2 linked regions of the Oryctolagus cuniculus genome follow. The protein of the gene in region 1 purifies or fractionates together with the protein of each later gene. This does not show direct contact. Links are inferred from orthologs where the notes say so. Each region holds a gene or a part of one and is shown on either strand. Other genes may lie near its edges. The genes, in order: RPL14 and RPLP2.

Region 1 (12,167 bases):
GCTCAACTGATGATGCCTCTATGTCCAGTGGCTGAAAAAGGTGGCATCTACTCAGCTGAAGCTCAGGGAAATAACGGGGTCCAGCCGGTACAGGTAGACAGTCCTAGCTACGTGGAACCCCCAGTGACCTTCGTCGCTGCTGGGCAACTCCCTCGCTCCCCATCGGGCCTAGTACCAGGGCTGCGCTCCCGCACACGCCCACGACGGGAAGCCGAAGCACCGGCCCGCCCTGCCCCTTGCCACAACAGCAGCGGGTCACGGCTCTCGGGACAGCTCCCACCAAGTACCAGCTAAGCGATCCTAGGTGCGAGACTGTCTTTCAGGCTCCACGTTTGCTACAGGTGCAGACCTCGCCTCGCCCTTCCTCTTTAAGATGCAACGTTAGACAAAGGGGGAGTCCAGAGTCAACTACCGAGAACCGCGGAGCGATGCGGCACGCCATCTCAGCTCCTGGCGTTCAGTTGCCCTTCCTCTCCGTTATTGGAAGAACCGGTTGAGCGGACCGTAGGAGGGCGTGGCTCTGCGCGTGGAGGCCGAACTACAAGGGCGCGCGCCCACGATCCCATCTTTACTCCTGGCGTCGCCCTCAACTTGCCCTTCTTCTGTGATTGGACAAAGAGAGCTTCCGGTAAGCAAGTGGCCGGTCAGCGGAGCCCCGCGCGTTTCGAGTGGTCGTCCGGTGTCCTGTACCTGCTAACGGCTGTGACCTGACACCCTGGGCTCCCGAGGAGCACAGGGCTTCCTTGGGGAGAGTTAAAGGAACTTGGAGTGTGAAGACGGCCTGGGGCTGCCTGGGAAGGGGACTGGAGATGCTTCTCGAGGGTGCACTACGGTTCTCCGGGGAGAAAGAGCACGTTCTAGGACAGGCGGCCCCCTGCATAAAGAAGCCGGAGACTTGGGGCGCAGAGCGGGCGGCCGGGGACAAAGGCAGGAACGCGTTGTGGGGTGAGGCTGTGGAGGGCCTTGGACGCCAAGCCGGGGCGTTTGCGGCTGATACTGTGGCCAGGGGGTAAAAGCGAGCTTTCCGGGGATGGAATCAAATCGTGCAGTTGGGAAAGCTGTTATTATTAATATTAAAATAATTAATAAAGCTAACCTATAATATTTGAATGAATCTCAAAGTTTGTTCAGTGAACCATTTGGGGAGCTTGTTTTGAAACGCAGATTCATGGCACATTTAAAACAGGGACTCGAGGCCGGTTCGAGTGCTGGCTGCTGCTCCTCTTCCGATCCAGCTCTCTGCTGTGGCCTGGGAAGGCAGTAGAAATGGCCCAGGTCCTTGGGCCCCTGCACCCGCGAGGGAGACCCAGAAGAAGCTCCTGCCTCCTGGCTCCAGATCAGCTCAGCTCCGGCCGTAACGGCCATTTGGGGAGTGAATCAGCGGATGGAAGACCTCTCTCTCTCTCTGCCTCTCCTCTCTGTAACTCTGCCTTTCAAATAAATAAATCTTAAAAAAAAAAAAAAAAACCTGCAAAACTCCATTAGAAAAACTTTTAATATTAACAAATGTTTGGAGGGGGAAATGCACCAATCCTAAGGACAAGGTTTTGAATTTTCTCAAGCTAAACACTCCTGGAGAAACACTGCTGCCTGCACCCAGGGTAAACACAGTCATTACTCCTAGCAGCCATTTATTCGTTTTGATGTTTAAGCCCTATGTAAACAAAATCACACAGCATATATTCCTTGTGTCAGCTGACTTTCACTAGTGTTAGGTGTGAAATTCACCCGAGTTCCATGTACGGACTACCAAAGCTCATTCCCTTGTTGTGGGCCTTTGGGTAGTTTCCAATTAAGGGCTATTATTCACTCCTGCCCCACCACCACCACCAACACAGAAAAGCTGGTATGAATATTCTCATTCATGTCTTTGACTTTGTGAATTGCAAGCCAAGATACTGAGGCCTAAGGATTAAGTCATTCACCTTAATCTGAGTCTCAGAGTGGCAGTGTGCTAAGGTCAACAGAAAAGACAGCCCCAGACTGGGGAGGTGGGGTTCTGGGTAGGGGGCAGATGGCCAGGATACTGCCTTCACAGTATTTATAATTGGCACAAAATTACAATAACCTAAGTGGACAGAAAAATAAGTCAAATGATTACAACTGTCATAATAACCCAGAGGGAAATAAAAACAGACAAGGGGAGACTAAGGTACTTTTACGTGGTAGCCAGGTTAAGTCTATCAGAAGAAACCAAGAAAAGAGACGAGTTCTCATGCAGATGGAAGAGCATCCCTTGCAGGGGAGACACCATGTGCAAAGGTCATAGGAGAGACCTAGGCCTATGCAAGGCCAGTGTGGCTGAAATACAACGATGAGGAAGGAGTGTCTAAGTGGATTTGGATATAGGAGCATTTGATGCAAGATCACAGGAAGCTGTTCAGATTTTAAATACTGTTACAACATCTTAAGGAGTGGTGTGAACTGCTTTGCTTCTTTTAAAGATCCCTGACTGCCAAGCAGAGAATAGCGAGAGCCAGGCCTTGGAGGCTGCTGCGGCAGTGCTGGGGAATGAGCCAGCACAAAGCCTAGAGAAAGGCTTGAGATGTATTTGGGAACTGTCAGCACCAAGATCACTTAAGTGATGAAGAGTGGCAGTCACACTGTGCAGTGTGTTATGTGATGCACTAAGGACACAGCATTGCTATCGAAAGTGCAGTCTGACTCTTCACGAGGAGACTGCCAGCAACACTGTAGGGATTCAGCTTGACACAACCGCAGCCTTCTTGGTTTCCATCCTGCCTATTAGGCGATCCTGGGCCGGCGCCGCGGCTCACTAGGCTAATCCTCCTCCTTGCAGCGCCGGCACACTGGGTTCTAGTCCCGGTTGGGGCGCCGGATTCTGTCCCGGTTGCCCCTCTTCCAGGCCAGCTCTCTGCTGTGGCCAGGGAGTGCAGTGGAGGATGGCCCAGGTGCTTGGGCCCTGCACCCCATGGGAGACCAGGAAAAGCACCTGGCTCCTGGCTCCTGCCATCGGATCAGCGCGGTGTTCCGGCCGCAGCACGCCGGCCGCGGCGGCCATTGGAGGGTGAACCAACGGCAAAGGAAGACCTTTCTCTCTGTCTCTCTCTCTCACTGTCCACTCTGTCAAAAAAAAAATAATAATAATTTAAAAAAAAATAATAAAATTAGGCGATCCTGGCATTCATCCCAAACCTTTGGGATAAAGTTGTCGTGGAGTCTGCTAGGCATCTCATGTCAGGCCTGACACCTGGGATGTCCTTTAATTGACATCTAAACTATTAAAATTTCTTGAAAAACTCCAAGATAGTTTGCCTGGCCAGGGGCTTCCTGGGCTTCTGGATGTGGGCAGCCACTTGTCTTGGGTTACCCAAGACTCTGTTCCTGTTGATTTTAAAAATCCCCAACTTGCATTCTGTGTAATCCTGAACTGGTTTGTGTCTTTCTTGAGTCTCATGGATCCTTCTACCTTTGACAGCCAGTTTCCACATACTGGGATTTCTTAAAAAAAAAAAAAATATATATATATATATATATAGAGAGAGAGAGAGAGAGAGAGAGAGAGAGAGAGAGAGAGACAATCTGCCAAACCAATTAGCCTGAAAAAAAAGTGGGGGGGGGGGGTCGGCACTGTGGTGCAGTGGGTTAAAGCCCTTGCCTGAAATGCTGGCATCCCATATGGGCGCCAGTTCTAGTCCCGGCTGCTCCTCTTCTGATCCAGCTCTCTGCTATGGCCTGGGAAAGCAGCACCCGTGTGAGAGACCTGGAGGAAGCTCCTGGCTCCTGGCTTCGGGTCAGCTCAGCTCTGGCCACTGTGGCCATCTGGGGAGTGAACCAGTGGATGGAAGACCTCTCTCTCTCTGTCTCTCTCTCTGTAACTCTTTCAAATAAATAATAAAATAAATCTTTTAAAAAAATTAGCCTGTACTGTTTAGAAGTGTTAAGTATCAAGAAAAACTACGAAAGGCTTAGGAATGATTGCAGACTTAAAAAAAAAAAAAACAGTAGAATGACAGGTGTTTGGCACAATGGTTAAAATGTCACTTGGGACACCCATATCCCAGACTGGAGTGTCTGGGTTTGAATCCTGGCCCTGCTTCTGATTCCAGTTTCCTGTCAATGCGCACTCTGGTGGGCAGCAGGTGATGGCTCAAGTGCTTGGGTCCTTGCTACCTACGTGCGAGACCTTGTTTGTCTCTTTCAAATAAACTTTAAAAATACACTGAAAAGTAATAACAGTAGACACCTGATAACTAGGTGGAACTCATAATCCTTGATCATACTGAGCCAGGGGAAAAAATTTTTTTTTTTAGGTTGTATTTATTTGAAAGGCAGAGAGGGAGAGACAGATCTTCCATCCACTCTTCACTCCCCAAATGCCTGCAACAGCCAAGGCTGGGCCAGGCAGAAGCCAGGAGCCAGGAACTCCATCCTGGTTGTCCCATAAGGGTGGCAGGAGACCAAGTAACCAAGGCCATTTTTTCTAATTTTCTTGAAATGGGACAACTGATAGCATTTGATACCGCAGAACTGATGAGAATTGTATAAACCTTCAGATTTTTAAAAAAGAGATTTATTTATCTATTTGAAAGTCAGAGTTACAGAAGGAGACAGAGATGTTCCTTCCACTTGCTGGTCCATTCCCCAGATGGTCGCAATGGCTGGGGCTGGACCAGGCCGAAGCCGGGACTCAGGAGCTTCATCTGGGTCTCCCCAGGGCACCCTGCCCAGGCACCTGGGCCATCCTCCACTGCTTTCCCAGGTGCATTAGCAGGGAGCTGGACTGGAGTCGAGCGGCAGACAGTGGAAACCGAGATGGCGGCTTAATCTGACACGCCACAGCGCGGAACCCAATCGTCCAGAATTTTATAACTGATAATGTTAAAGAACGCCTTGGTTGTTAGGAAGCACACATTTAAGAGGTTAGAGATAATGGGACATCCCGCCTGAGTTTCCTCTCAAATGGTTTACAATTAGATGATAGGATAAAAGAAACGTAAATAGCATCCAAGGAACCTAGAAGGATTTCTGGGAATCATTAGTCCTATTTAAACTATGTTTCTGTACGTTAAAATACAAGTTAACAAAGATTTCCTAGAGAAGGTGAGAAACCAAAAACCCTAATATTTGCATAGCCAAAAACACCCCGCAGAGGACTGAGTATTAGAAAGAAGGCTGCAAGATGCAGAGTTTTAACGTAAGGCAAAGTTTCTGTGCGGTCCTGTAACCTAACGACCCAGGAATGCAACTCACCTAGGCCAATCACCAAACCTAGCCAGATTACAAGAGACTCGCCTCAGAGAGAAAGCCGGCTCCGCCATGTTTTCCCAGCGAGCCCCGCGCGCGCGCACGCAGCACGCAAGTACGCAAGCACGCACGACCAATCGGCGCCCACGTCTGCGTGTCGGTCGCCGCACGAGTGGGCGGCCTTCTGCGCTTGCGCAGCGGAGGGCGGGCCTTCTTCCTTCTCGCCGAACGCCGCCGACATGGTGAGTCGCGTCGTTCCTGGCTCCCGCTTCGGCGAGCATGCTGCTCGGCGTCCGCCGCGGCGGGGGAGCCCAAGCGCTTAATGGCGGCTGGAGGGTCGTGGGAAGTGCGCGGTGAGGGTCCTCGAGCAGGCTGTGCGCGGGGTGCGGGCCGTGCCGGGAGCGCTGCTAGCGAGCGCGTGGAGGGCCCGACGGGCCGGGCGCGCCCCGGGCCACGCGAGCCCTGCGCCCTGGCGGGGCTGGGCTGGACGGCTGAGGCTGCGGGCTGCTCGCCGCGGCCGCCCGAGCCGGGCGGAGCTTGGGCAGGCTGGCCTTGTTTTTTTTGTTTTTTTTTTTTTGTTTTTTTTTTTTTAATGCCGTTTTTTTCCCCACTCGTTGTAGGTGTTCAGGCGCTTCGTGGAGGTTGGCCGAGTGGCCTACGTCTCCTTCGGGCCTCATGCCGGGAAGCTGGTCGCCATCGTGGATGTCATTGACCAGAACAGGGTGAGTGGCGGTGGGTGGTCGGCGCTGTCGGTCACGGCGGCCGTTTCGGGGGCCTCCGAGGTGGGAGTCCGGTGGGTAGCGACAGTGTTTAATCATTGAGACGAGTAGGGTGGACTTGATTTTGCCATGATTGAGTTCGAGAACGAATCCCAAGCCGCTTCAACTTTGAGGGGCCGAAGCAGTTACTATGTGTGAGTCGAGTTTAGGACAGATAAGAGCCCAGGAGACACTTGCTTCCTGTTGTCAGTAGAAGAAAGGAACAGATTCAGGGGCTGACCACATGGCAGTGGACCAGCTCTCCATTTAGTTCCTGGTACGTTTTGCATTGAGCTCCTTGATCTTTGTGTTCCAGGCTTTGGTTGATGGACCCTGCACCCGGGTGAGGAGACAGGCCATGCCTTTCAAGTGCATGCAGCTGACTGACTTCATTCTCAAGTTTCCACACAGGTAACTGACCGCCAGGCTTCCCCCCTCCCTGGGTCGAGGGTACTTTGCTTAGCATAATTAAGAAAAGATGTCACTGTATTTCCTTTGAAAACACAGCAGGCAATGCGGTTCAGAAGAGGGATGTACGTTCTAGAAGTACACAGGTGGGGTGGGTGTTTGGTAGTGGTTGAGGTGGCATTTGGGATGCCCGCATCGGAATGCCTGGGTTTGAGTCTTGGCTCCACTTCATTGCCAGCCTCCTACTAATGCCCATCCATCATGGAGGATGACTCCAGTAGTTGGGTCCTTGATACCCATATGTCAAAACTGGACTGAACTGTAGGCTCCTAGCTTTGACCTGGCCCAGCCCTAGCTGTCACTGGCAATTGGGGAGTGAGCTCTACCTTTTAAATACTAGGTCTTTTTTTTTTTTTTTTTTTTAAGATTTATTTATTTATTTGAAAGAGTTAGAGATCTTCCATCCGATGTTTCACTCCCCAATTAGCCACAACGGCTGGAGCTGCGCTGATCAGGAGCTTCTTCCCAGGTCTTCCCACGTGGGTGCAGGGGCCCAAGGACTTGGGTCTTCTGCTTGCCCGGGCCATAGCAGAGAGCTGGATCAGAAGTGGAGCAACCCGGTCTTGAACCAGCACCCATATGGGATGCCAGTGCTCCAGGCCAGGGCATTGACCCCCTGTGCCACAGCGCTGGCCCCAAATGAATAGTTATTTAAAAGACGTAGATGGGTATTGTGTTCTTTGGCAGTGTCCTATGGTTCTTTTTGTACTCTGTTGGTGCTGTATGGTTTTATTTACACCTGACAGTCTCTTCTGTCGTCCTCCTTTGTTTACTAACAAAATCCTCCTATAGGAATTCTGATTGCTCTACAGAACATAGTCACTTGATTACTTTCAGCATTAAAACAGAAATACCAACTATCACCTGTTCACATAATTGAATTTTCAGTGTCTTGACAGGTGGTATTTAACCTAAGAATTTCTAGTGTTAGTTTGCGTACAGGGAATTGAAGCGGTGATGAATGGTGTTTTTTCTACATGGAAATGAAAATACTTCCTGTTGTGCCAGTCCTGTTCCGTGGTCCCCCCCCCCCCCCCATGACTGTTGTGGGCCATGTGCTGTTTGGGAAAGTGTTTCACGGATACACGGATAATTTTGCTCAGATAGTCTGTCTGGATTTTGCTACTCACCCCCTCATTCACAAAAAATATATATTGTAGAAACAAAACTGCTTTGTGCTGAGTCCCTCCCTCAGTGCCTAGCATGTGCGCAGTGGGCTTTTGAGTGCTGGTTTTTGAAGATAAAATGGGAGCCAGTGCTGTGGCATTGCATGTAAGACCACCACCTGCAGTGCTGGCATCCCATTTGGGCTCCAGTTTGAGTCCTGGCTGCTCCACTTCCGATCCAGCTCTCTGCTGTGGCCTGGGAAAGCAGTAGAGGATGACCCAAGTACTTGGGCCCCTGCACCCAGATGGGAGACTTGGAAGAAGTTCCTGGCTTCAGATGGGCCCAGCTCTGGCTGTGTCAATCATCTGGAGAATAAACCAGCAGACAGACTCTCTCTGCCTTTCAAATAAATAAATCTTTTAAAAACTAAGATGGACTAGATTGTAGAGATGGTGCTTAAAGTTATAGGCTCTCCTGGCTTAGTGAACACCGTTCAAACAGGTAAGAAGGTAAGATACAGTGTGCTTGGAGGAATGTGTCTATATTGAACAGATAAAGCTGACCAGCTTTCCCTTTATCATGATTTCAAAGCTGACTTTTAATCTATTGTCTTGGATCTGTGTAGTGCCCGCCAGAAATATGTCCGAAAAGCCTGGGAGAAGGCAGACATCAATACAAAATGGGCAGCCACAAGATGGGCCAAGAAAATTGAAGCCAGAGAAAGGGTAACGATTTACGATAACTTGAATCCTGAACTTTTTTGGGGTGTTTTGGCAGGTAGTATATGAGGGATAATACTTTTTTTTTTCTTTCCAGAAAGCTAAGATGACAGATTTTGACCGTTATAAAGTCATGAAAGCAAAGAAAATGGTAAGTATGTTAAGATATCCGTGTTCTCTGATCTCATGAATTATAGCCAGCGCCCATTCCATGTCCTTATGGAACTCGTGGTAAACTGATCAGTTAATGCCCTTTCTAAAGATGAGGATGCATTGGAGTTTTGTGTGTGTGTGTGTACGATAAATGCTTCCCTACATTGACATTCTGCAGAGGAACAGAATAATCAAGAATGAAGTCAAGAAGCTTCAGAGGGCAGCTCTGCTGAAAGCTTCTCCCAAAAAAGCCCCTGTTGCTAAGGGTGCTGTAGCCGCCCCCGCCGCCGCTGCCAAGGTTCCAGCGAAAAAGGCGACCGCTGCGGGCAAGAAGGCTGCAGCCCAGAAGGCTCCGGCTCAGAAGGCTCCGGCCCAGAAAGCCGCGGGCCAGAAGGCAGCGCAGCCTCCTAAAGCTCAGAAGGGCCAGAAGCCTCCAGCCCAGAAAGCACCTGCGCCAAAGGCATCTGGCAAGAAAGCATGAGAGGCTGTTAAGAAAGTAATAAAGGTTCTTTATGATGCGTCTGGATTTTTTTTTATTTATTTGAAAGAGTGACAGGTCTTCCATCTGCTGGTTCACTACCCAGATGGCTGCAATGGCCGGGGCTGTGCCGATCCGGAGCCAGGAGGTTCTTCCTGGTCTCCCATGTGGGTGCAGGGGCCACCTTCTTCTGCTATCCCAGGACAGAGCAGAGAGCTGGGTCGGAAGAGGAGCAGCCAGGACTAGAACTGGTGTCCACATGGGATGCCAGAGCTTCAGGCCAGGACTTTAAGCCACTGCATCAGAGTGCCAGCCCCATGTCTGGATTTAAAGCCTGGTTTTAGGGCTTGGGTAAGGCAACTTGATAGGATTGTGAACATATAGAAAATTGATTCTATATTCAGTTAGTGCAAAGCCATGATAAGGTTACAACTGGTTATTACATTTTTGGGGTGTCATAATTAGAAAAAGTGATGTTTTTCTCCCACTCCTCTAATCTAAAAAACCTGAGAATTTCAAGTTTCAGATTAAGCCCCACTGGTAGGTGTTGCACATTCTCTGAAGGCTAAAATGCTGCTGTCTCTGTTTTTGGGTAAGGGATCCTCAGTAGGTGACATTTTAAGCCTTTTCACGTTCAAGAGTCTAATAAGGGAAAATGAGGGCAAGTGCACAAATTCTGTCATACAGGTAACTTGCCGTTTATTTTCCTCTACCACATTTTAGTGGAGGAGAGTGGGTGGCTTTAAATTACATTTACTGGTCATGATGAGAGCTATGCCAGGTTTCAAGACAAATATGGGATTCAGTTGTATCAGTAGTCCAAGGTAGCCCAGACACTGAACAGGAGAGATTAGGTAGGAGTCATTGGAGATGGGACACTAGAAGAATTCTGATTAAGGTGGCTCAAAGAGGGTTTTTTAAGGGAAGGAAATGTTAAGGTTTTTCAGAAGTTTTGTTTTTGTAGTGACTACAGCATGTTTGGGAGCTGTTGGGAAAAGATCTAATGAAAGGATAGCCCTTGTAGAAGATGGCTTCTACAGGGCGAGTAGAAGAAAGTAGCGACAAAATCTCCATGTTCACTGTCAGGAAACAGGAGTTGGACCATATGCTGACAAAGGGGATAGGAGAATAACAGGTTTGTGATTTTTTTTTTTTTTAAGATTTATTTATTTGAAAGGTAGATAGAACTCTTTTATTTGCTGGTTCATTCCCTAGATGGCCACAACAGCCAGATCTGGGCCAGGCAGGCCCAAGGAGCTTCTGCAGGACTTCCACATGGGTAGCAGGGGCCCAAGCACTTGAGCCATCCTGTGCTTTTTTTCTCAGCCCATTAGCAGGGTGCTGGGTCAGATGCAGAGCAGTCGGTGGGGTGCCAGCATTGCAGGTGGATGCTTTACTTGCTCTTCCTGCCCACTCTTATTTTGGTTTGTAACTCCCTGTAAAGGTAAGGGGAGAGCCAGTGGCTTCGAGGGCAGTTTGGTTAATCCACAGGATCCTCAGGATGAGAAAGACTCAAGGTAGGAGCAGCATTGAAGTGGCACCTAGGAAATCTCAAGAGAGATTGTGCAGGGACACTAGTCCACTTTGTTTATGAAGAACTGCACACTTGTCTAGTTACCCTCATTAGAGTATAACAGGATAGTTACCAGTGCCACAGTCATATCCAGGTTTAGGTCCAGTCATTGAACCAAGGATCATTGTACTGCACATGCATGGGTCTAACACCTACTTTATATTGTGTCAAGGAGGAAGTGAAATGCTTAGGAAATTGGCAGTTTACGTCAACACCTGGTTGGATTTCCCATTTGTTGCTCAGTAATTTTGTTTCAAATCGTGTTGTGCTTGATTGGCTCAGCAGGCAAGATTACAACATTGGGCAAGTTTTTAGGGAGCCAGCCTCTAGGTAGTTGGCATGTCCTCTAATTCATACTTTCCCTCTCAAATACTAGATGAGATTCCATTTTTCCCTTTATTACCTAAATTAAAAGTAACAACTAGCTGATGTTTTTTTCAGACTTAATCAAAAAAATTTACCATAGTAAAATAGTCGAAGTCAAGGGCCCCTTAATTATCCGCTTCCACTGTCAGTACCCAATGTAAAGGAACATGTTAGGATGTTAGGTACCTCTTGCAGATGTTTCACTGTGCATCTCTGTGGGGAGCAACCCGGACTAGACTGAGTTACTGGAATTAAGACTTATTCTATGCATCTGCTCTCCCACAATATGGCGCTGGGAGAGAAGTAAACAGCTTCCACACAGCTGCCTCCAGTTCAACTAATAAACTGTAGGACTTGCTACTGATTGGAGGAGAGCAGCGTACTCGGCGTGTGGGCAGCCGAGTTAGGATTGGCGGAGGAGGACTATAAAGGAGGAGAGAGACGGCATGCACCAGGAACATCTAGCTGAAGGAACACCTGTGCAGCCCCCGAGAAGAGCCGGCCGACGGTGTGCCGCTCCCCTGCGGAAGTGGGGAATGTGGCCAGGGGGAACTGCCCTTCCACGGAGGTGGAAGGGATAATAGCCAACCCGGGAAGAACCAGCAGCAAACCCGGGGAGGGCCGAGCAGATGAAAGAACAGCGCAGGGGCTTAGTGTCGTTCCTCCACGAAGAGGGGGAGCGACAATCTCCATAAAAGGGGTATTCAGAAAGTTCATGGACAATGCAAACCATGAAAAAGCCATGGGCTACAAAACTGGGGGCACCAACATGTAATTCCATTGTCTGAACTTTTTTTAAAGTGCTCTTGTGTATTCACATAAAAATGTTGACATCGTTTGTTTCTAAACAAATATAGGCTGTATATACTCTGCAGTTTGCTTTTTTTCTGTAAATATATTCTGGAGATTGCTAAGTTCCAGTTCTGCAGAGAAGCAGGACCAATAAGCTAGATAAGGAGATCTATAGGTATCGGGTGCTGTGATGATCGGTGCCAGGGAGTCCCATGGTCTGCCGTCTATAAGCTGAACCAGGAAAGTTGCTGTTGCTATGCAGTCCCAAGTCCAAATGTCTGAGACTCAGAGGGGCCCGTGATGTAAATTCCAATCAGAGTTCCAAGGCCCAAGAACCAGGAGCACCCACGTCCAGGAGCAGGAGAAAGTGGACGTACCAGCTCAGGCCAGTTACCTGGCCTTTAAAGTTTTGTCCTGTGCAGACCCTCAACAGATTGGAAGGGGCCATCTGCACTGATGAGGGTGACCTTCACTCAGTCTACCAATTAAATGCTAATCCCTTACAGAAGTACTCTCAGACACCCAGAAATGTTTTACCAGCCTGG
Region 2 (11,298 bases), on another chromosome or scaffold:
GACTGAGGCTCCTCCGGCCGCCTGGTCCACCTGGGGGTGACTGGCGCCCGCCCCTGCCCCGCCCGCGGTGGGTCCGGGGGCGGAGCGCTTCCGGGCGCTGTGCCTCCCGCCCCTTTCCGCATTTTTTCTCCGTGATCGTGGCCGGCTGGGCTGGCCGGGGCCCAAGATCGGTGTAGGGGCCCGTCCAGGCTGGGGCGGCGGCAGGTCGTGCCCACCTGCCCCTCTGGGAACTCGACGGGGATGTACTTAAGGGATCGTGCCCCTGGCGTGGGGCCAGAGCCGCCAAGCGCTCTGGGCCTGAGAAACAAGCCGGGTCACAGGTGCGGGAGGGCTGGGCGGTGACTGCCCAGGGTGAGCAGGAAAGGGGTGCAGGGTTGAGAGCGGGGTCCTGGAGGGGGACACAGCCCGACTGAGGAGGTGGGAGGGTGTGGCCAGGGACTGCCAGGAGACCCTCAGAGGGAGGGGCCAGCGCCCCAGGGCCACCCTGGAAGGTCCAGGGGGCTCACAAGGCACTGGACCTCCTCCCCAAGATCTGTTGCCAGGAGGCCGGGAGGCCGGCCTCGGCCCTCCGCGGCAGCCGGGCCCGACACCTCTTACCCGGTTTCCACAGCACCAGGGCCACTCTGGGGACAGACCCCTCCTCCAGCAGGCTGGGAGCCAGGGTCAGGGCGGGTGATTCCTGGAATCCTGGCCTGGGCTGGGCGCCGCGCTCCCTGGAGGCTCGGGTCACCGCTGCCCCCACAGCCCCTGGCCCCCCAGCCTACTCCACTAAGGGGCTTTCCGGAGGGGCTGCGCTGGAACCCGAGCCCCTGCAGTCAGGGCGCCCCCACCCAGCCGAGCCCGGGCGCAGCGACTCCTCCGCTGCGCACAGCCGGTCAGAGGCACGGCCCCCACGGGCAGCTGCTCCACGGCGCCCTGCTAACGCGTCAAAGGCCTCCTGGGCCCCCGCACCCCTGGGAGACGTGGACGCAGCTCGGGGCGCTGGCCGTGGGCTGGCCCAGCTCGTCCTCACGGCCGTCCGGGGAGTGACCGGCGGTGGAGGCTCCGCCCCCCTCAGCCTTTCACGCACAGCGTAGCAGAAAACAGCAGAGAAATCTCGGGTCCGCGGCCCTCAGGGGGCGCCCCGCAGCCCTCCCCGCACAGAGAGACTCAGAGGCTCCGGTACAAAGGCTTTATTGGGGGGGGGGGGGGCTAGTCGAACAGGCCGAATCCCATGTCGTCGTCCGACTCCTCGGACTCCTCCTTCTTCTCCTCCTTCTTCTCCTCGGCTGCAGGGACAGAGGCAGTGAGCGGCCGCCCGCGGAGACCCCAGCCCACGCCCCGGCTCCCCGCCCACTCACCTGCGGCGGGCGCCGAGCCGGCAGCAGGGGCCGCGGAGCCCGGGGCGGCAGAGACGGCCACAGCCGTGCCGGCGGGCACACTGGCCAGCTTGCCGATACCTGGGGGAGGCGGGGGGAGCGATGCCTGGAGGGCCCTCGCCGGCACAGCCCTTGGGGGGGGATCCCGCGGCCCCAAGACCCCGTCTGCAAACTCGGCTTTTAAATTACCAAGTCTCAGCACCGCGCGCCACGCGCAGCAGAGCCGTAGGAGCGCCCCCAACGGGACTGCCCGCACCGCGCGCGAGCGGGGCCGTAGGAGCGCCCCCAACGGGACTGCCCGCACCGCGCGCGGGAGCGGGGCCGTAGGAGCGCCCCCAACGGGACTGCCCGCCCCGCGCACGGGAGCGGGGCCGTAGGAGCGCCCCCAACGGGACTGCCCGCACCGCGCACGGGAGCGAGGCCGTAGGAGCGCCCCCAACGGGACTGCCCGCACCGCGCGGGAGCGGAGCTGTAGGAGCGCCCGCCCGGGACCGCCCCGACGCCGACCCCGACGCCGGCGCCCGCGCCGCTCCGCCCTGCTCTGGTCCACAAGCGAACCCTGGCGGGCCACGAGCCGGCCGGCAGGGATTAGGATGGACCCCCGCCCGCAGCCCGCGCCCCCCGCTCACCCTGCGCGATCACGTCCTCGATGTTCTTCCCGTTCAGCTCGCTGATGACCTGGCGGGGACACGCGCGGGGCGCTCAGCACGGGCGCGGGGGCCCGCACGCTCGGCGGCGGCGTGACCGGCCCAGCCCTCCCGCGCCCCCACCTTGTTCAGCCGGTCGTCATCCGCCTCGATGCCCACGCTGTCCAGGATCTTCTTGATGTCTTTGGCGCTGGGCGAGGAGTTGCCCCCGAGGGCGGCCAGCAGGTAGGAGGCCACGTAGCGCATGCTGCGGGCGGCGGCGGCGTTACCGCGGCGACCCCCGCGCGCAGCCCGGGGAGGCCCCAGCCCCGCACCCCCGCCGACCCCGCGCCCGCTCCCGAGGCCCGGCGCTCCACTCACGCGGCGGCGGCGGCGGACGGGCCTCACGCGTGCGACCTCGGCGGCGTCCGGGGCGGAAAGGAAGGCGCCGGCGCAGTGGGCGGGGGTAAACCGCTACCCAGAAGCCTCTGCGCCGGAATGCGAGGCGCCTCCGGATGACGTCCGCGGCGCGCAGCCAATGACGGCAGGAGAGGCGCCATCGTTCGCTGCCTACCCAGGCGGTCGCCGTGGCAAAAGCGAAAGATTGTTCCCGGACTGGCTTCCCGGATACCGTAGGGCCGAAGGTCCCTGGATATGGGCAGGGCGGCGGGCGAAGAAGGCTGACCGGGACTTCGTCTGCCTTCCGCGCCTCGCGCTCCCAGCATGCCACGCGGCGCCTACAGAGCCCAGCATGCAGCGCGGCCGCCACGCGCGTGCGCATCTCGTGCCGCGAACCACGAGTCCCATGATGCACCGCTACCGGAAGTCGCGGCCCCTGCCGGCCTGGAGCGGCCGCACGTGGGCGCGGCGAGCCTGCGCGCCCAGCCGCCTCGCCTGGGCCCCGCGCGCGACACGAGGTCTGCGTGACCGGCCGATGGCGTCCGTGTTCTCGCCCGCGCTGGCCGCGCGTCCGTCCCGGCACGCGTGGCTCAGTCACCCGCTCGGGCCCGCGACCCGGGTCATGGGGGCCCCACCCTTGCTGGGGTAGTAGAGAAAGACGGGTCTTGTGCGGCCTGGGGAAGCGTCCCTGAGCTGAGAGGGGACAGGGAGCCAGCCCGGCGCGCGTCCTGATGGGCTCCAACCGGAGCGCAAGTCCCCGCGCGTGGGTCAGGACCCAGTGTGTGAGCGCACCCCGAGCCCCCAAGCGTGGGGTCAGGAGCCGTGTGTGAGCGCGCCCCCCCCCGAGCCCCCGCGCGTGGGGTCAGGCCCGGTGTGTGAGCGCGCCCCCCCCCGAGCCCCCGCGCGTGGGGTCAGGCCCGATTGTGAGCGCACCCCGAGTCCCCGCGCGTGGGGTCAGGAGCCGTGTGTGAGCGCGCCCCACCCCCGAGCCCCCAAGCGTGAGATCAGAACCCGGTGTGTGAGCGCACCCCGAGCCCCCGCGCGTGGGGTCAGGCCCGGTGTGTGAGCGCGCCCCGAGCCCCCGCGCGTGGGGTCAGGCCCGGTGTGAGGGCGCCCCCCCCCCGAGCCCCCGCGCAGGGCGTCAGGAGCCGTGTGTGAGCTTGGGCCGCAGGCCGCCCCTCTAACGCAGGAGGACCCTGGGCACTCGGGAAGTGGGAGGCCAAGTCCTGGCGAGGGCGGACTCCGGTGCAGCCCCAGAAGCAGCTGTCCGATGCTTCACGCAGAGATGGGTGCGTTGCTGGGTTTTTGGTGATCGCCACCTTTCTGAACCGTGCAGTTCGCGGAGGCCGCGTCACTGCTGTGGCCTCACAGCCCCGCCTGGTCCCTGGGCTGCACCCCCAGCCTTAGCGACCCCCATACACTCACAGCAGAGCTACAGAGCGAGGGAGACAGACGTCTTTCATCTGCTGGTTCACTCCTCAAATGGCCACAACTGCTGGGGCTGGGCCAGGCTGAAGCCAGGGGCCTGGAGTTCCATCCGGGTCTCCCACGTGGGTGCGGGGGCCCAGGTGCTCTCCCAGGGCGTCAGCAGAGCTGGATCGGAAGTGGAGCAGCCAGGAACCAGTGCGCATGGGGTGCCAGGGTTGTTGCACCGCGCCAGCCCCCTGGGTCTCTGTGTGTCGTTTTAAATACGTATTTATGTGGAAAGCAGAGCGAAGGGAGACAGCCAGGTCTTCCACCCGCTGGTCCATTCCCCACATGGCTGCCACGGGGAGGCCGGGCTGCAGCCGGGATCCAGGAACTCTGAGTCTCCCCTGTGCGGGGCGCCCGGAGCACCCGGGGGGGGGGCTGCATGGGAGGTGGAGCAGCCAGGACCCAACCAGGCCTCCTGGAGGGCGCTCCTGCTGCCACAGGGTGCCTGCCCTGCTCGTCTATTTAATAGATTTGAAAGGCAGACAGAGGGGCGGGCGCTGTGGCAGAGCAGTGAGGCTGCCACCTCAAAAATAGGTGGGGCCGGCGCCGCAGCTCAATAGGCAAATCCTCCACCTTGCACACCGGGTTCTAGTCCTGGTCGGGGCGCCGGATTCTGTCCCGGTTGCTCCTCTTCCAGGCCAGCTCTCTGCTGTGGCCAGGGAGTGCAGTGGAGGATGGCCCAAGTGCTTGGGCCTTGCACCCCATGGGAGACCAGGAGAAGTACCTGGCTCCTGCCTTCGGATCAGCGCGGTGCACGGGCCGCAGTGCACCGGCCGCGGCGGCCATTGGAGGGTGAACCGATGGCAAAAGGAAGACCTTTCTCTCTGTCTCTCTCTCTCTCACTGTCCACTCTGCCTGTAAAAGAAAAAAAAAAAATAGGTGGCCCATACGGGCGCCAGTTCCAGTCCCGGCTGCTCCACTTCCAATCCAGCTCTCTGCTGTGGCCTGGGAAAGCAGTGGAAGATGGCCCAGGTCCTTGGGCCCCTGCACGCGCATGGGAGACCCGGGAGAAGCTCCTGACTTCGGATCGGCGCAGCTCCAGCCGTTGCAGCCATCTGGGGAGTGAACCAGCAGATGGAAGACCTCTCTCTCTCTCTCTCTCTCTCTCTCTCTCTCTCTCTCTCTCTCCCCCTCTCTCTCCTCTCCTTCTCTCTTTCTCCTCTCTCTGTGTAACTCTGAATTTCAAATAAATAAATATTTTTTTAAAAATAAAAGGCAGAAAGAGATCCATGAACTGGGTCAGTCCCCAGCTCAGAACAGCCAGGGCAGGGCCAGGCCAAAGCCAGGAGCCTGCAGCTCCATCCAGGTCTCCTGGGGGCGGGGACACCCGCTGTCTCCCTGGGGTGCAGCTGGGCCGGGGAACAGAGCTGGGGCTGTGGTGTCTGTGGGGGCTTCCTGTGGGTGGGGTCCCTCTTCCAGGGGAACGTGTCCAAGGTTCCTTCCTTAGCACCTATCACATTCACTCCTTTTCTCTCTCTCTCTCTCTTTTTTTTTTTCCCAGAGTGGTGGTTTTATTTTTAAATTTCTGTTTTCATTTTATTTGAAAGAGACTGAGATGTTCCAGAGACAGGTTCACTCCGCAAACTCCTAAACAGCCAGGGCTGGGCCAAGCCAAACTAGGAGCCTGGAGCTCAGTGGGCCCCCCCCCGTGGGGGGCAGGGGCCGAGTGCTTCAGGCATCTCTGCAGCCCCCCAGGTGCACAGAGCCAGGACCCTAACCTCTCGGCTGTAGGCTCCCAAGGGTACACCGAGTGCCCACCCCAAATACACTCCATGAGGCTCAGAAGTACCCCCCTGATTGGGCCTATGAAGGATCCCCCCTTCAAACGGCCACTAGGCGGGCACTAGGAGGGAGGCCTGGCGGGAGCCGCGGGTCCACCTCGCGGCGGGCAGGGACGAGCAGGGGAGGGGCGGCGCGGGGAGGGCGCACAGGCCTGGCTGGGAGCACCTGGCACCTGTTCTGCTGGGTGACAACAGCCCCGCGTGCGGTGGGCGGGGGGCGTGTTTGGAGGGGCGGGGCCCAGAGTCCCCGCCTGCCCGCCCGGAAACGCGCGGGCGGGAAGCGGGAAGCGGGAAGCCGGGCGGGCGCCTGGACCCGGGTGCGCGGCGCCGCGACCCGGCCGGGGTGTGCAGCTGCCCCCGACGCGAGGGACCGCGCTCCTTCCCTGGCGGCGGGGGCGGCGGAGCGTGGGCTCTCGGGGCTGAGCCGCGCGGTAGGTGCGGGTCCTAGGCACCGCGGTCCAAGCCGATGCGCGAGAGGGTCGAAGGTGGGCTCTTAACCCCAGGACTGGGGCAGACTGGGCTCCCCACCCCAGGCAGCGCTGTCCACGCTCGGTGCCCCTCAGACGCTGGACCACAGCCCCCAACAGTGACCCTGCAGAGCCCAGGCTGAGGGGGAGGGGGAGAGACCCAGCCCCCATCACACTCACTCCTCTCCCTGCCTCGCAGCTTCCCAGGGCCTGCCTGAGCAGGCCTGCTCTGCGAGCTGGGACATGCCTGGCCCCCAGGGACGGCCGGGGGGTGACGATGGCCACAGTGGCGGAGGGGCTGGAGCCCGAGGCAGCTGCCACGGGAGATGCTGCAGCAGCGGCGGCGGTGGGTGCCGGGCCCGGGGCGGCTCCTCTCCTGGCCGGGAAGCAGCTGAACTTGGACCTGTACCCCGCGGGCTGCCAGCGACTGCTGCACCTGTGCGCCCAGCAGCCGACGCAGCTGCTGCAGGTGGAGTTCCTGCGGCTGAGCACCCACGAAGACCCCGGGCTGCTGGAGGCCGCCCTGGCCCGGGTGCCTGCACGCCTGCCCCGCCTCCGCTCCCTGGTCCTCAAAGGTGAGCCCGGCCGCGGCGTCTGACCCTCTCCCCACCCCTCCCTGCTGCCCTGCCTCAGGCCCGCCCCCACCCATCAGCTGCCCTGGTCCGCCGTCCCCTGCGCTCTGTGGAGCCTGGCTCCCCCTGAGCAGATCCAGTGTGGACGCCGCTCCTGGGGAAGGACGTGGGCGGCGCTGCCTGGGGCTGAGCCATGGCTCCATCCCTGCGCCCTCCGCCTGCAGCACCGAGCCCGCGTCTGCCTGTCCCCATGCAGCGCCAGGTGCGGGGGCCAGCAGGGCCGAGCTGGCAGCCAGGGCCCTGGCTCTGAAGGTCACGTCTGCCCCTCCCCGTCCCAGGAGGCCAACGCCGGGACATGCTGGGTGCCTGCCTCCCGGGCACCCTGACCACGCTGCCAGCCAGCCTGAGTGGCCTGGGCCGCCTGGCCCACCTGGACCTGAGCTTCAACAGCCTGCGGACGCTGCCGGCCTGCGTCCCACACATGCGCAGCCTGGACGCTCTCCTCCTGTCCCATAACCGCCTCTCGGAGCTGCCCGAGGCCCTGGGAGCCCTCCCTGCCCTCACCTTCCTCACTGTGACGCACAACCGGCTCCGGGCGCTGCCCGCGACGCTGGGGGCGCTGTCCACCCTGCAGCGCCTCGACCTGTCTGAGAACCTGCTGGACTCCCTGCCCGCCGCCATCGGGGGCCTAAGCCGCCTCTCTGAGCTCAACCTGGCCTCGAACGCGCTGCAGAGCGTCCCGGCCTCCCTCGGTGAGTGGCAGCGGAGGCCCTGGGCTCCTGGGGCAGCACCCTGCAGCCTCACATGGGCTCTGGCCCCTCTCCGCTTCTGTAGGGGCCCCTGCACCCGCAGCCTGCCCTCAGCCCAGCCTTCAAGGCCTCCATGAGGCCCACTGAGTCTGCCAAGGGGCGGTGTCCGCGAGGGTGGCCCCCGCAGGCCCCCCCTCCCGGCGCTAAGCCGGCCCCGCCTGCCTGCAGCCCGCCTCCGGTGCCTGCGGCTCCTGGTCCTGCACAGCAACCGCCTCACCTCCGTGCCCGCTGACCTGGCCGGCCTCCCGCTGCTCGCCCAGCTGGACCTGAGGGACAACCAGCTCCGGGCCGTGCCCCCTGAGCTCCTGGACGCACCCTTCGTGCGCCTGCAGGGGAACCCCCTGGGCGAGGCCCCAGCAGCCTCCCCGAGTCCCCCAGGTAGGCCTGTTGCCAGGGAGGGGCACCACAGGGGAGACGCGGGCGGTGGCACCCCCCAGGATCTGTCCGCCCCTCCCGCAGGGACCCCCATGGATCCGGAGATGCCTCGGCTGCGCCTGACCTCGGACGCGGGCAGGTACCGGGCAGGGCTGGAAGAGCGGCCAGGACGTGCCCTGGGGGTTCTGGCGTCCACGGGGGCCCTGTGTGTGTGACCGACGCTCCTCCACCCTCAGCTTTCCCGTCACCCCGTGGGGCTGCTCCGTGACCCTGGCCCATGGTGTCCGCCTGCTGTTCCCGGCCGGGGCCACCACCGCCCCCGTCACCATCCACTACCAGCTATGGCTGCCGCAGCCGGGCCTCGTCTCGCTGGGCCCTCACGACTCCCTGCTCAGCAGTGTCCTGGAGCTGTGGCCCCACGGGCTGACCTTCCGGCAGGCACGGCCAAGGCAGGTGGGGGGTGGGCGTGGAGCCCCCAGGCCCGGCTCTGGCCCTCACACGGCCCCCTGCCTGGCAGGATGTGAGCCTGTGGCTGCTTGTTGTCCCCCCACGGACCCAGCTTTGCCGTGAGGTGGTGGTCAGGACCCGGAGTGACGGCAGCTGGAGCGACCTGGAGACCTTCCTGGAGGAAGAGGCACCCAAAGTGAGAGCTGCCCAGGCCTGGCCTGGTGCTGTCCACCCCTGCCCGCTGTTTGCCTGGACCCCCGGCCTGACTCAGCCTCTCCTCTGACCCCTCCCCTGTCCCAGCGGCTCTGGGCCCGCTGCCAGGTGCCCCACTTCTCGTGGTTCCTCGTGGTTCTGCGCCCTGTGTCCGATGCCTGCCTGGTGCCGCCAGAGGGGACCCTGCTGTGCTCCTCTGGCCACCCTGGGGTCAAGGTCACCTTCCCCCCAGGGGCCACCCAGGAGCCTCGTCACGTGTCCATGCAGGTACGGCCAGCATAGGGCCATGGGCGGCTGGGGCGCCTCCGCGCACGGTGGACACTCAGGCGGCCTGTCTGCCCCAGGTGCTGCGCATGGCCGGCCGGGAGCTGCGAGCCCTGCTTGGGGAGCCTGGGGCCGCCGTGAGCCCCCTACTGCGCCTCTCGCAGAGCGGCCCCACGTCCTTCCTGCGGCCGGTCACCGTGCAGCTGCCCTTGCCCCCTGGCCTCACAGGTGAGAGGCGGCTGTGTGGCCCCTGGGCCGGTGGCCTGCAGGGCAGCCCTGCAGCGGGGCCTCAGCCTGCTGTCCCGTCCTGTCCAGGCCTCGACCTGGACCGTTCCCGCCTGCACCTGCTGCACCGGGCTCCTCCTGAGGCCACGTGGGATGACATCACGGCTGCGGTGGCGCTGGAGGTCACCCACCTGTATGCACGCTTCCAGGTCACACACTTCTCCTGGTCAGTGCCCCCCCCCCGCCCTCAGCCCCATCCCTGTGTGCCCAGCCCCTGGTCACTCCTCCTGGTCAGCCCCCCAGCCCCAGGTCACTGCTCCTGGTCAGCCCCCCCCAGCCCCTGGTCACTCCTCCTGTTCAGCCCCCCAGCCCCTGGTCACTGCTCCTGGTCAGCGCCCCCAGCCCCTTCAGCCCCGCCCCCGTCTGCCCAGCCCCCAGCTCACCCGCCCCCCAGGTACTGGCTCTGGTACACCACCAAGGCCCGCGTGGGGGACCTGGCCCGCAAGGCCTGGGAGCGGCTGCGGCTGCACCGCGTGAACCTCATCGCACTGCAGAGGCGCCGGGACCCCGAGCAGGTCCTGCTGCAGTGCCTGCCCCGCAACAAGGTGGGGCGGTGGAGGGGGCGGGCAGCAGGTGGCGGGCGTGGCAAGGCCTCGGGCTGCAGCGCGCCGGTGCCCGCAGGTGGACGCCACCCTGCAGCGGCTGCTGGAGCGATACCGCGGCCCCGAGCCCTCCGACACTGTGGAGGTGTTCGAGGGCGAGAAGTTCTTTGCAGCCTTCGAGCGGGGCATCGAGGTGGACGCTGGTAGGCTCTGTGCCCCCGGGGAGGGGCGGGTCCCTGGGTGCGCCCCCTGCTGAGCCCCCTGGCCCCCAGACCGCCCCGACTGCGTGGAGGGCAGGATCTGCTTCGTCTTCTACTCACACCTGAAGAACGTGAAGGAGGTGTACGTGACCACCGCCCTGGACCGGGAGGCTCAGGCCGTGCGAGGACAGGTGGGCGGGGCGGGGGCGGCGGTAGGGCCCGGGCTGCCCGGACACCCGCCGGAGCTCTGAACCCCGCCTGATCTCCCAGGTGTCCTTCTACCGGGGCTCGGTGCCCACGGAGGTGCCCAAGGAGGCCGCCCGGCAGAGGAAGGGTGCGGACGCCCTCTGGATGGCCACTCTGCCCCTCAAGCTGCCGGTGAGGGCAGGGGCAGGGCTGGCCCGGGGTGACGGAGTGTGGAGTGGCGTTAGGGGCTCACCGCACACTCTCCCTGCCACAGAGACTGCGGGCGCCCAAGGGGCGGGGGCAGGGGGCCAGCCTCTCCCTGGCACCTCTGAACCTGGGGGACGCTGAGAACGGCTTCCTGACTCAGGCCAACCTGCTGAGCGTGGCCGGGCGCCTGGGGCCCGACTGGCCCACGGTGGCCCTGCACCTGGGCCTGCCCTACGGGGAGCTGCAGCGCATCCGCCACGACTTCCGGTGAGGGGAGGCGGGGTGGGGCCGGCGCAGGCTGGGGAGGGAGGGTGCCGCCGCCGGGGGCCCAGGGAGCACGGTGCCAGCGCCTCTGCCCCCTCCCAGGGATGACCTGGACGGGCAGACCCGCCACATGCTGTTCTCCTGGGCCGAGCGCCAGGCCGGGCAGCCGGGGGCCGCGGGGCTGCTGGTGAGGGCGCTGGAGCAGAGTGACCGGCGCGACGTGGCCGAAGAAGTCCGCGCGGTCTTGGACCTCGGCCACCGCAAGTACCAGGACAGCATCCGGCGCACAGGCCTGGCCCCCGAGGACCCCCCGCTGCCGGGGCCTCCAGCCTCACAGGCCCTGGCCTAGGCCTGGCCGGCTTGGGCTGGGCAGAGCCCCCAGCGCCCGGCCTCTCAGTGGTCGCGTGTGCAACAAATACAGATGGTGCCATCTGCCTCCCGGAGCTCCGTTCATTTGTGGGGCGGAGGGGGGAGGCCGGGTGCCGAGAGGGCGGCCGTGGCGGCCGGGCAGGGGCTCTGTGCGCCGTGCATCTCCCCAGGGAGCCGGAGGAGCCTGTGCTACAAAGTACCCGCAGTGGCCGACCGGATACAAAGTTGCCCTGTGGCTGAGCTGTGTGTCCCTGCCCTGGCCGCCCGCTTGGCCAGTGGTCCCCAAGCGCGCCCACGTGTCTGGCTTGGGATTGGGACCCCCTCCCCTTCCACAGCACCCCCACCCGCGGCCCCTGGGGCCTCGGCCTGAAGAAGCGCTGCCTTGAGGGCCCGACTCCGGGCTCCCAGGTGCCGGCGGGCGCGCGGCGGCGGCACGGCCGGGCGCAGTGGCCCCGGCGGCC

What was found.
Region 2: the proteins of RPL14 (region 1) and RPLP2 fractionate together in Homo sapiens (co-fractionation; 3 studies listed by BioGRID and IntAct, with this or other methods). This does not show direct contact. The link is inferred for Oryctolagus cuniculus from reciprocal best matches to the Homo sapiens genes RPL14 and RPLP2.

The regions. Positions count from the first base shown.
Region 1 is NC_091441.1:107,171,936-107,184,102, reverse strand, and holds RPL14 (large ribosomal subunit protein eL14), read left to right. Parts: upstream 1-5,355; 5' UTR 5,356-5,447; coding exon 5,448-5,450; intron 5,451-5,828; coding exon 5,829-5,930; intron 5,931-6,282; coding exon 6,283-6,377; intron 6,378-8,166; coding exon 8,167-8,266; intron 8,267-8,357; coding exon 8,358-8,411; intron 8,412-8,590; exon of another isoform or gene 8,591-8,591; coding exon 8,592-8,894; 3' UTR 8,895-8,931; downstream 8,932-12,167.
Region 2 is NC_091432.1:328,722-340,019, reverse strand, and holds RPLP2 (large ribosomal subunit protein P2), read right to left. Parts: upstream 2,592-11,298; 5' UTR 2,366-2,591; intron 2,253-2,365; 5' UTR 2,252-2,252; coding exon 2,129-2,251; intron 2,037-2,128; coding exon 1,988-2,036; intron 1,440-1,987; coding exon 1,341-1,439; intron 1,269-1,340; coding exon 1,192-1,268; 3' UTR 1,158-1,191; downstream 1-1,157. Other genes in the region: PIDD1 (p53-induced death domain-containing protein 1), read left to right, coding at 6,382-6,679, 7,015-7,428, 7,654-7,863, 7,945-7,999, 8,097-8,298, 8,378-8,503, 8,608-8,787, 8,865-9,012 and 6 more. UniProt on the Homo sapiens protein: Plays an important role in the elongation step of protein synthesis.